Macaca mulatta: one gene and its partner. The protein of the gene in region 1 purifies or fractionates together with the protein of each later gene. This does not show direct contact. Links are inferred from orthologs where the notes say so. Each region holds a gene or a part of one and is shown on either strand. Other genes may lie near its edges.

Region 1 (5,229 bases):
GCTTGATCTAACTCGTCAGAAGTACTGGCCATCTGGTATACCAGGTTAGGTTGCTCTGGCTGATACCTGGAAAGAAAGGTATTGTGTGACCACCATCATCCGCTTCAAGCAAAAGGACATGCACCAACTCAAGTTCTCAATAAGCCTCCAAAGTTAGCTGCCCGGGACACAAGGTATAAAATGGGAAGGATATAGTCAGATGCTGCGTTGTAGACAGACGAGGAGAGACCGGGACCACCACCTCCCACTGTTGCTTCTGGGGAACATCCCCCACGGTCTCTGCTTCGGGGTGACATGACCTCCACCATGAGCAGCCCAGAGGAATACCCTGAGAGATCTCTCTTGCTCTGAGAAGTGGCAGTGGCCCTCAGATGCTAAAGATATTAGGCCACTTCCCACAAAATTACTGCTGTAGGGAGCAAAAAGGAAGGAGAGAAATAGAAAGCAGTAACGCCAGGATCCTATTTGGCACAGAGAGCCAGAGAAATGCGGCTGCAGGCTGATGGATTTGAGAAATTCTGTTTGCGTGCCTTAATTGGATCAATTTATTTTAAAACTCCAAGTACCTCGGAGTAAGTAATTCTGTGCGGCTGGTCGGAGGGCCGAGCCTGCAGCATGATTTCCAAGACATGAGTTACCTGCCAGTGGAGCATCCGTTCTGAATGAGGTGCCTTATCTTCCCACCCAAAGTGAACAGAGTGCACATCTTTTCCACCAGCTTTGAAAAGCAGAGTGCTGTATGAATTATTTTGCATATGATCAATTCTAAGAGGGAGTATAAAGATATTAACCATTTTTGTACGGATTCGCTTGTGCAGCACCACTCAGTCAATTAAGAAAGTGGGAGACCTCAGAGAATCTTCTAGCGTTGGGCCTGTTGGGAAGAATAAGGGGTCCCCAATAGTCTTAGCTGATTCTACAGAGCTTCTGCTGAGGCTCAGCTCGGGCTTTATGTGCATCGGCTGCTGAGCACCTTGGAGATGCAATCAATGGCCTGGCAGGTGGGAATCCCTGAAAAGAAAGGAGCAGGCTCTTGAGGGCAGACCAGTGCTGAGTGTCTCCATGAGCACCGGTTCTCAGGATGCCAGCTGCCCAGGGATGCGCTTTGGGAGTGGGCGCTGGGGCAGGTGAGAACACCGAGGCACCAAGCCCAGGCCCAAAGCAGCTTTACTGCGACTGCGAGAGGCTTGCCTGGCCCCAACCAGGCCACAACAAGCCGACTCCACAGTGTCCCTGAACATCAACCTAGGGCACCCCATGCCACGTAATGGGATTCATTCCTCCAGCCAGAGTGCAACGAAGCTTCAGAAGCATTACGCTGACCTGGGTTTCACAGGCCTTGGGTTTCCCTAACTCCTACCAGGGCAGCCCTCAATCCTCTCTGTCCCAAGAATCTGAACCAAGTTGCAATCAGTCTTCAAAAATTCTGATCCCAGGATCCTGGCCTAATAGTTGGGCCGAGAATCTATTTCTATCCACCCAACATCTAGCCATAAAAATGAGGGCACACGATAGAGGGGGGTGAGGGGCCACCCAACTCTTGCCAAGGACGTCCTCCTAACTGGGCTCTCAACCCAGGTCCTCCCCTCTCCTTGGCAGCTCCCATTGGAGCCATCACCAACCTAAAAGTTTCATTCATCACATAAACCATAGCGGAACTGTGAAAAGGCTACCAGGTGCATCTGCATTCTGTCATGAAACCCCAAAAAGCCATACATACCGTAAGACCAACACACAGGCAGCCACCAACGAGTAAGCCAGGAGAGTGCCAATGGACATGAGGTCCACCAAGTCCTTCAGGTCAAAGAGGAAGGCCATCACAGCTGGGAAGAGACAGACACCAGGATCTGTGGATGGCTATCTGCATGCACAGACAACCAGGACCACCACCACCTACCATCCAGGGCAGCGAAGGGGGCTGCTTTTACTCCCACTTTAAGCTTGATTAAAGTCAAGCTTCCCTTTAAGCTTGTGATTAAATCACAGACACAGTCAATAGACAGTAATAATCATTAACATTTGTATAGAGAATACCTTCGCTCTTGTGATTTTAATGGCAACTTTGTAAGCCATCCTTACATTACAGATGTTAACATTCACACAGGTTAGGAGACTTATCTAAGATCACACAGCTCATAAGCATAGGTATAAGGATGTGAACTAGGTTCTTATGACTCTGAGTCCTGTGTGTCTTCCTCTAGACCATGCTGATTCACAGACTCATGTGCATCCATCCCATCGATCCATCCATTCTCCATCAATCCATCTATCCACCCATCTTTCATTCATCCACTCACCATCCATCAATCCATCTCATCCATCTGCCCATCTTCCATCCATCTATCTATCCATCCATCCATTCATCCATCCCATCCACCCGTCCATCCATTCAGCATCTATCCATCTACCCATCTTCCATCCATCTCATCCATCTATCTATCCATCCATCCATCCCATCCACCCGTCCATCCATTCAGCATCTATCCATCTACCCATCTTCCATCCATCTCATCCATCCATCTATCCATCCATCCATTCATCCATCCCATCCACCCGTCCATCCATTCAGCATGTATCCATCTACCCATCTTCCATCCATCCAGCTCTGGTGAGAATGTGCCCATCACTGGGTTCTAGGCACTCACTATTGAACAGGGCAGACCACAGGCCCCAGCCTTCCGAGTGTACCCCACCAAGACACAGGCATCAGTGGGCAACAGTGCTGGATGATAAAGAAGGGCAGGTCTGGTGCTCTGGGGGGAATCACAGGGGGTCCTAACCCAGGCAGGCGAGCAGGAGAGCAGAGTTCTTCACATGTGAAGTCACTCACATGGAAGAAATCTGAAGACCTGTTCTTAAACAATATAGTATCAGCCCCTATCACCGTGCCCCTGGCCTTTAAAATGAATGAAAACCTGCACCCTTATTTGAACATCTTTTGTGAGTTTTGGGAGAGTATGCATGTCTATGCATGTGGGTGTGTATGTCAAGTACTCATTAAAAAACAACTTGGCTAGATCTGCTTTGGGATATTTTCAAAACACATGCAATCAACACAAGCTAAAATATAAACACAAAACCATTATTTTTCCACAAATATCTCTCAAGCCCCTCTAGATCACTGCAACTAAAACAAATTTAAATGGAGAATAAAACATAAAATTAAAGAGCAATGAGGGAGGGCCTTTTGGATAATCAGAACAGCACCCAACTGTGCATGCCACAGATGCCGATGCTCCTACTCATGGGAAACTTGAGACTAATTTCTTCCATGTGAGGTGATTTTAGAAAATCAAATACTTATTTACCACTCCCACCAAATGAAAAGGGTAAATCCTGGATTTTGTGAATGGCACGTACTTCACAGTCCCTTCAAAGAGCATGATTTGATCTCCCTCTATCAGCAGGGGAAGGAAATTAAGGCCAGTCCTGAACATGATCAAATTCCGGGTAAAGACTGAGAAAACAATGACTATTTCCAAATCCTTAATCCTGTAAATATACTGGTCACATTCTGGTGTATAGTGCCTCTCAATCTGACCACTGTAGTCACTCTCAAGAACATAGAATCACATAAAAAAAAAGTTTCATAATTTAAAAATAGGTTTGTTTTATTACATAATATTAATCCACAAAACTAAGCACAGTTTGCTAAAGGCATGAATGCTAATAAAACTTAGTGAATAATTCATTCATTTAAGAAGGTCAAGGGCCTTACCAATGGCTACTTGACAAGTTGCTGTGTTAGAAACTATGACTGATATCACATGCCCCAATTTGCCAAAAAGACCCACTGCTCTGCTCAGACCCTGGAAGGAGCTTGGCTACTTTGGCATGAAAACAATCCTGGAATCACAAGGCCGCTCCACCGTCCTGGGTGCACATCCTCACTTCACCTCCCTGGGCCTCCACTTCTACATCTGTACAGTGGGCTGGCGTCTGCCTTTCCGGGCTATGAAATGCAACCGCGAAAGAAGGAGACATAAAACCACAGGTACAGTGTGCACGCGAGCTTCCTTTTGGGTTCTCCTTTCCATCATCTACGGCCCTGGAACACCCACATGGCTCAGATTAGTCATCCATCAAAATGATCCTCTCAGCAATGATGCTCATCTGACAAGATGAAGCTCTACTGGGTCTGCTGTTACGTATAAACTTAGCGGCAAGCGGCTTCATCAGCAGCACCCTTGATACTCTCTGGGGAAGAGGCAGCACATTTCATAAGGGACACTTATTTTCCAGAGAATTCAGAAATGGATGCCGAATTTCCAGGTGCTGGCGAGGTCTCCCTTGGCCTGTGTCATGCAGGAAGGTGTCAGCCTGCCCTTGACTACTCAGGGAAATGTCCAGAAATGGGAGGAAAGGGTTTTGGGGGAATACTGTGTGTTCTAAGCTCTGCCCAATGAGATGAAAACCAGAGTGCAAGCTGTTCGAAAATTCTCTCCCATCCTCTGTCTTTTGTCAAAAGGTCAGTCAGCTTGCAATGAACCAGGCTCCAAGTATGAAACCCAGGAGTTAAAAAGACCAGGTGAGATTACTCACAGACCAGAACAAGGCAAGATACCTCCTTAGGGAGTCATGACTCCACTGGTAAAATATTGACATGTGAAATGAGTTCTGGTACTCACCAGCAATGGCACCCGAGGCTAGTGTGGCGATTATTGGTGTTTTGGTCCTATCATTGACCTTAGCCAAGAATTTAAATAGCAGTCCATCCTCAGCCATGGCATAGATAACCCGAGGCATGGGAAACATGGAACCTAGAAGGCTAGATGGGGAGAGGCAAACCACGTGAGTGAACCTGGCTCATAAGGGATAAAGGCACCACATCCATCCATGCTCAGTTTACCACAGAGGAGAGGGAGTCTGAGCTCACCAAGAGCTGCCATCCCTCCACGCTGGGTGAGGCCTGTGGCTAAAAGACTTGGCATTTAATAAATCAACCCCAGAAAGAGCACACACTGTGAGTAAGGGTTAAGGTAAAGAGTAGGGAACATCTATCTAACATACACTAGCATGAGACCCAGCACCGTCTTTACAGATGGAAAACTGTATTTATTCCTGCAATTATTTCTAGCTGAATCAAACAGAAAATACAAGCATCACTGCATTCATGAAGATTTCCCCATGGTAAATCAATATTTACCAAATAGCTCTGTTTATACAGGCTAAGAGGAAATACATTGGTGAAAATGTTTCTCATTAAAAGGCATTTATTCCCTTCTTCAA
Region 2 (5,675 bases), on another chromosome or scaffold:
CATCTCTACTAAAAATACAAAAATTAACTGGGTGCAGTGGTGGGTGCCTGTAGTCCCAGCTACTTGGGAGGCTGAAGCAGGAGAATGGCTTGAACTCAGGAGGCGGAGGCTGCAGTGAGCAGAGATGGCACCACTGCACTCCAGCCTGGGTGACAGAGTGAGACCTTGTCTCAAAAAAAAAAAAACAGAGAGAGATGGGGTCTCGCAATGTTGCCCAGGCTGGTCTCAAACGCCTGGGCTCAACCAATCCTCCCACCTCAGCCTCCAAAGTGCTGGGATCACAGGTGTGAGCCAAGGTGCACGGCCAGCCCTCTCTGATCTTGCTTCCTCTTACTGTTCCCTCCCTCTGCCCATCCACATTGGTCTCCTTACAGCCCTCCCTAGACAAAGCACACTCTCAGCTTAAACCTTTGCATTCACTTCTCATTCTACCTAGAATGCCCATTCCCCGCAAACACCTTTAAGTCTTTTGTTCAGATGTCACCTTCTGAATGAAGCTTCCTCCACTTGCTTTCAACTGCAACGCTACCCTCCTCCAGCATGCTCAGTCCCTCTTCCGCTGCTCTTTTTTCCTTAATGCTTATTATGTTCTAAATAATTCACTTATTTATTATGGTGATTGTCTACACCAGAAGGGAAGTTCCATGAGGATAGGGATCATTGATTCACTGCTGTACCCTAAACAGTTCCAAAAAGGTCTGGCACACAGTAGGCACCCAATATGTAACTGCTGAATGCTTGCTGAATGCCAACCTTGCTGCCTACACCACAGTTCCTATGCCTAGAGATGAACATGCTGCCTGGGCGAAACAGGTGCAACAGGCCCACATGGGCCCTCGACCACTCATGCCAATCACCACCAGAGGCTTCCCCAGAAACACTGGCTCTGGGGCATCTGCTCTGCCTTGCCCCTTCTCCTGAGACCTTAAATATGCTCATTCCTTGGAGTTCCTTTTCCAGAGATACATCTGCTCTCCTGGTTCCAGCTGCACCCTTCCAAGATGCCCAAGCTGTTTCATCTTCAATCTGGGGTCTTTGCTGAGCCCTGGGCTCAACTACTCCAACCCTGACCTCTTGGTATCCTCCTCACTGGGGACACAAAGAGGGCCAGTCAGATCACTGCAAATCTCCTTACTAAGATATCACCCCAGGGGCCGTGCACGGTGGCTCATGCCTGTAATCATAGCACTTTGGGAGGCCAAAGCAGGTGGATCACTTGAGGACTTGAGGTCAGGAGTTCAAGACCAGCCTGGCCAACATGGTGAAACCTCATTTCTACCAAAAATATAAAAAACTAGCCAGGTGTGGTGGTGTACACCTGTAATCCCAGCTACTTGTGAGGCTGAGGGAGGATTATCGCTTGAAGGAGGTGGAGGTTGCAGTCAGCCAAGACTGTGCCACTGTACTCCAGCCTGGGCGACAGAGAGAGACTCCATCTCAAAAAAATAATAATAATTTTTAAAAAAAAGATATTACACCAGGGGAGTTCCTCTTCAGTGTCGCCCCAGGGAAGTTCCACTTCCTGACTTCTTGAATTCCACCTGTGGGACTAAGGATGTCCCTGTCACACAGATAGCAAACCTGCCAGTCAATTTGTGACTTCTCACTCTCCTTCCCTGGGCAGCGCCATTAGCCACCAGATCCCACGTGAGTAATGTCTTTATCCCCTATTGAACCCTAACTCCTCATGTTGACTCCTAGAAAACACGTGTCCCAGCTGGGCGCAGTGGCTCACGCCTGTAATTCCAGCACTTTGGGAGGCCAAGGCAGGAGGGTCACCTGAGGTCAGGAGTTCGAGACCAGCCTGGCCAACATGGGGAAACCCCGTCTCTACTAAAAATACAAAAATTAACTCGGCATGGTGGTGTCCGCCTGTAATCCCAGCTATTCAGGAGGCTGAGGCAAAAAGAAAAGAAAACGTGTCCCACAGTCAAGCCTAGGTCTTGTCTGGGGTCAATAAGTAACTTCTTATTGAATGGAAGAAAATAAAGCAGGGTGTTATAACCGGACTGAGCATCAGGAGACCTGGTTTCCTGACCTTGAGCAAGTTCTTTCTCTCTCTGAGCTCAGGTTCCCCACTTGGAAAAATCATCCAATTGGACTCCATGACATCTACAGGCCCTTCCTTCATACATCTGTCATCTAATACTTCATGAAACATTTGCTGAAATGTCATTTCTGAGAAAAAAAACCCACCTGGGTTTTTCTCATTCTTGTGTTGATGGAGTTATAGTTCTCATCAGCTTCCTCCTTCTGGGGCTCTATGGCTGTGGGAAGACACAGGGGTATTGGGGGTACTTGTCTCCATAGGATTTTTAGGGAAATATAATTTATCATAAAATGACTAAGGCTGAGCCTCCAAGAGGAGAAAGTAAGTTTATTTTTCTTTGCATTACATCACTTGAGTTCCCGTAGGAATGCAGAGGCCACCTAACAAAACCCCATCTCCCTGCCCAAAGAATGCCCAGTGGGCAGTGATAACTGTGTAAGTAAATGGTTTCATTGTAAATAAAAGAACCTGAGAGACTGCCTTGTGCTGTGGAGAGTACAATGGCCTGGAGGCCAGAAGACAGAGATGCTAGAACCAGGCCTGCTGTGTGACCTGGATATATCACTGGCTTCTCTGGGCCACACACTCCCCAGATATACCAACAACAGGGCAGGATCAGAGGGAAGGATCTGCCTGAGGTCCCAGTAGCTCACCCTTCAGCTGCAGGCGGATCTCCCTCCCCAGCTGTTTGATCTCGTCGCGCAGGTTCTGCAGCTCCTGCTTCATGCCTGAATAAGAGAAGGCCACGACTCCCAAACAGCAGCCCCCACCTCAACAAACCACCCTGGCCACCACCTGCGTGGAACTACAACCCCCACAATCCCTGGGGCGGAGCATGCGCTATGCAGCCGGGGTTTCACTCACTCTCCTCAGGAAGGGGCGTGGCCAGGATGGTGACCTGCTGTTTCTCCAACTCCTGGACTTTATTCCCCAGCTTGACAATAGTCTGCCGAATTGTCCGGACCTGGGGAGGGTGACCGAGAGGGCTGAAAGAGATATGGGGTACTCCAGACCACGCTGCTCCTCGGGTCCTCCTACCCCCTCGCGAATCCAGGCCAAGACTCCATCCCCTTACCTTCTGGAAGAACTCCTCGTCCGGGCTCCCCAGCCGTGCCGTGCCCGGGTGCACCACCAGCGCGACTCGCTCCTTGTCCTCTTCGTCCGAGCTGTCATCCCCCTGCCAGGCCCGGAGTCATTGGCACCACTGTTTCGCTGCGGCTGTCACCCCGCAGGACCCACAGGCTTCCGGGACTTTCCTTCCTGGCCATCAGCCACCCCTCCCTACCCCGAAGACCAGGAGTCCTGCGTTCCAGTTCGTCCGCGCGCCCCCATCCCCGCTGCCCTGGCGTCTCACCTGCCTCAGCTCGTGGGTCCTGTCCCGCATGGCGGCCTGAGCTCTCCCTCCCCGGCGTCAGACCGGGAGGCCGGCAAACTTGGAATACCCGTACCCCACTCACACTCTGACACTCCCCTCCCTCCCCCTGTGGACCCCAACACCCCCACGAGCCACCAGAGCCTCCGTCCCTTGCACCGCCCACAGTCAATGGGAAGGCGCCGACCCCGGGGACCCCCCAAGGTTCCACAGGTTGGAATTCCCTTTTCTTCCCCCCTCCAGCTCCCGCAGCCTCAGCCCCGCCCCTCCGTGATAAATTCGGGGCATGCGCATATGGTCGCGTCTCTTCCTCGCCCGAGGCGCGGAAGGTGGAGTCGGAAGTTGTTGCGCCCCGAGCGGAAGCGGAGCTGCGTGGACGCGAGAACTGGCTACCGTCACCGGAACCGTTGCATCTTCCAACGGAAATCTGGTTGCCAAAAGGGGTAGGAATACGTCATTTGTACGTAATCTGAGGCACCCGCATCTCACATCACCCCATGGTGCCCCCACCGCGTCACGTGACCAACCCGGTCCCAAACTCGTGGACCGCAGAATGTGACGCTGTGACTGTCACGTGTCCCGGCTCGGTCAGCGCCGTCTCTGGGACGCTGTTTTCATCACGACGTCCCCGGCACTCCGACCACCGAACGACGCCCACACGGCCCCCGCGAGGTGGGGAGGGGCGCGCCCACCACTCCCAGAGGCCTTTCGAGGCAGTGGGTGGTAGGACCCTTGCTGACTTCGCCTTTATTGCTTTCGGGTCCAGGGGCGTGGGCGGACTGACGACTTAGCATTTGGGGCTGTCAGCATCATGGGACCTTGAAAATCGGGAAATAATAGGATCCGAGTCGTCAGCGTCAGAAAATTGCAGGGTTGTGTGGGCAGGGAATCTAGGGGTGGAAATTGACCTCAGCCAAGGCAGAAACCTCTTCTTCCGCATCCTCCTGGCGCAGCCTCTGACAGGTGGGCAGCCAGCCGGCGCCCTCCTTGAACACTACAGCCCGGCTTCACTCACCACCTTGTGGGCTGTCAGACCATGTCAGGGCAGCTCAGGCTAAGAAAAGTGTCTCTGCACGCTGCCTTCCCTGCCACTCACACCCCCCAGACCCTGCCTTGCATCTGAGGCAGGTAATGACTTTGTTCTTAACTGAATCTGGGGAGTTCCTAGCTCAGTACCAAGCACATTACGGGCCCTCTATAAATACTTGTGGACAGAATCTTAGCCTTTCATGTATCTGAGGATGAAGACCCTGGTTCCTTGGCCTTCTTTAGGCTTCAGTCTTTCTGACTGTGACACTTCTCTAATCCTGGCTATCGAGATATTCACTCATTTTTTATTTTTAAAAATTTTTACAAGATGGGGTCTCACTATGTTGTCCAAGCTGGTCTCTAACTCCTGGGCTCAAGCAATCCTCCTGCCTCAGCCTCCCAAACTGCTGGGATTACAGGCATGCACCACCATGCACAGAACATTCATTTAATGGATATTTTTGGGCACATACTATGGGCCAAACACTGTTCTAGGGCTGGAGATACATCAAGGACTAATAGATAAAAATTCCTGCACTCGTGGAACTTAAATTCTCTAGAAGGAGTCCCCAAGGTCATTTAGTAAGTCTCAGCATAGCTGGGAATGAATAACGGGTCTCCTGGACCCCAGGGCTCTGTCCAGGAAGCTTCTGTGAAGGTACAAGCAAGGAAAGGAATGGACCCTTTCTGCTATGCCCTGGTCAGGAAACCTAGATTCCTGGGACTGGGTTGCTATGGACTTCTGGAAGTTGCTTCCTGTCTCTTAAGTGTCGATCTCCCTCTGCACAGTGGGTAACTTGGGGGGATGGGGAGATCATCTTTATGGGTATGGGCTGCTCTAAACTTCAGTGATGATGAGGTTGGAAACTGTCAAGTGCTGTCTGATTCTATGTGAGGATTTTTGGCTCTTCTCTTCCTGTTAAAACCCAGCTCTAGCAGGGTGCGGTGGCCTATGCCTGCAATCCCAGCACTTTGGGAGGCAGAGGCAGGCAGATCACCTGAGGCCAGGAGTTGGAGACCAGCCTGGCCAACATGGCGAAACCCCATCTCTACAAACGTACAAAAATTAGCCAGGCATGATGGCAGGTGCCTGTAATCTCAGCTACTTGGGAGGTTCAGACAGGAGGATTGCTTGAACCCGGGAGGCGGAGGTTGCAGTGAGCTGAGATCACGCCATTGCACTCCAGCCTAGGCGACAGAGTAAGACTCCATCTCAAAAAAACA

What was found. The genes of interacting proteins can lie anywhere in the genome.
Region 2: the proteins of SLC7A1 (region 1) and STX4 purify together in Homo sapiens (co-immunoprecipitation; 3 studies listed by BioGRID and IntAct, counting the BioPlex papers as one, with this or other methods). This does not show direct contact. The link is inferred for Macaca mulatta from reciprocal best matches to the Homo sapiens genes SLC7A1 and STX4.

The regions. Positions count from the first base shown.
Region 1 is NC_133422.1:9,415,448-9,420,676, forward strand, and holds part of SLC7A1 (high affinity cationic amino acid transporter 1), read right to left. Parts: intron 4,769-5,229; coding exon 4,629-4,768; intron 1,824-4,628; coding exon 1,721-1,823; coding exon of another isoform or gene 1,717-1,720; intron 67-1,716; coding exon 1-66. UniProt on the Homo sapiens protein: High-affinity, low capacity permease involved in the transport of the cationic amino acids (arginine, lysine and ornithine) in non-hepatic tissues.
Region 2 is NC_133425.1:29,669,867-29,675,541, reverse strand, and holds the start of STX4 (syntaxin-4), read right to left. Parts: upstream 3,704-5,675; 5' UTR 3,435-3,703; coding exon 3,405-3,434; intron 3,228-3,404; coding exon 3,126-3,227; intron 3,037-3,125; coding exon of another isoform or gene 3,015-3,036; coding exon 2,915-3,014; intron 2,779-2,914; coding exon 2,704-2,778; intron 2,268-2,703; coding exon 2,197-2,267; intron 1-2,196. Other genes in the region: uncharacterized protein LOC144337996, read left to right, coding at 3,709-3,865, 3,975-4,094. UniProt on the Homo sapiens protein: Plasma membrane t-SNARE that mediates docking of transport vesicles. Necessary for the translocation of SLC2A4 from intracellular vesicles to the plasma membrane.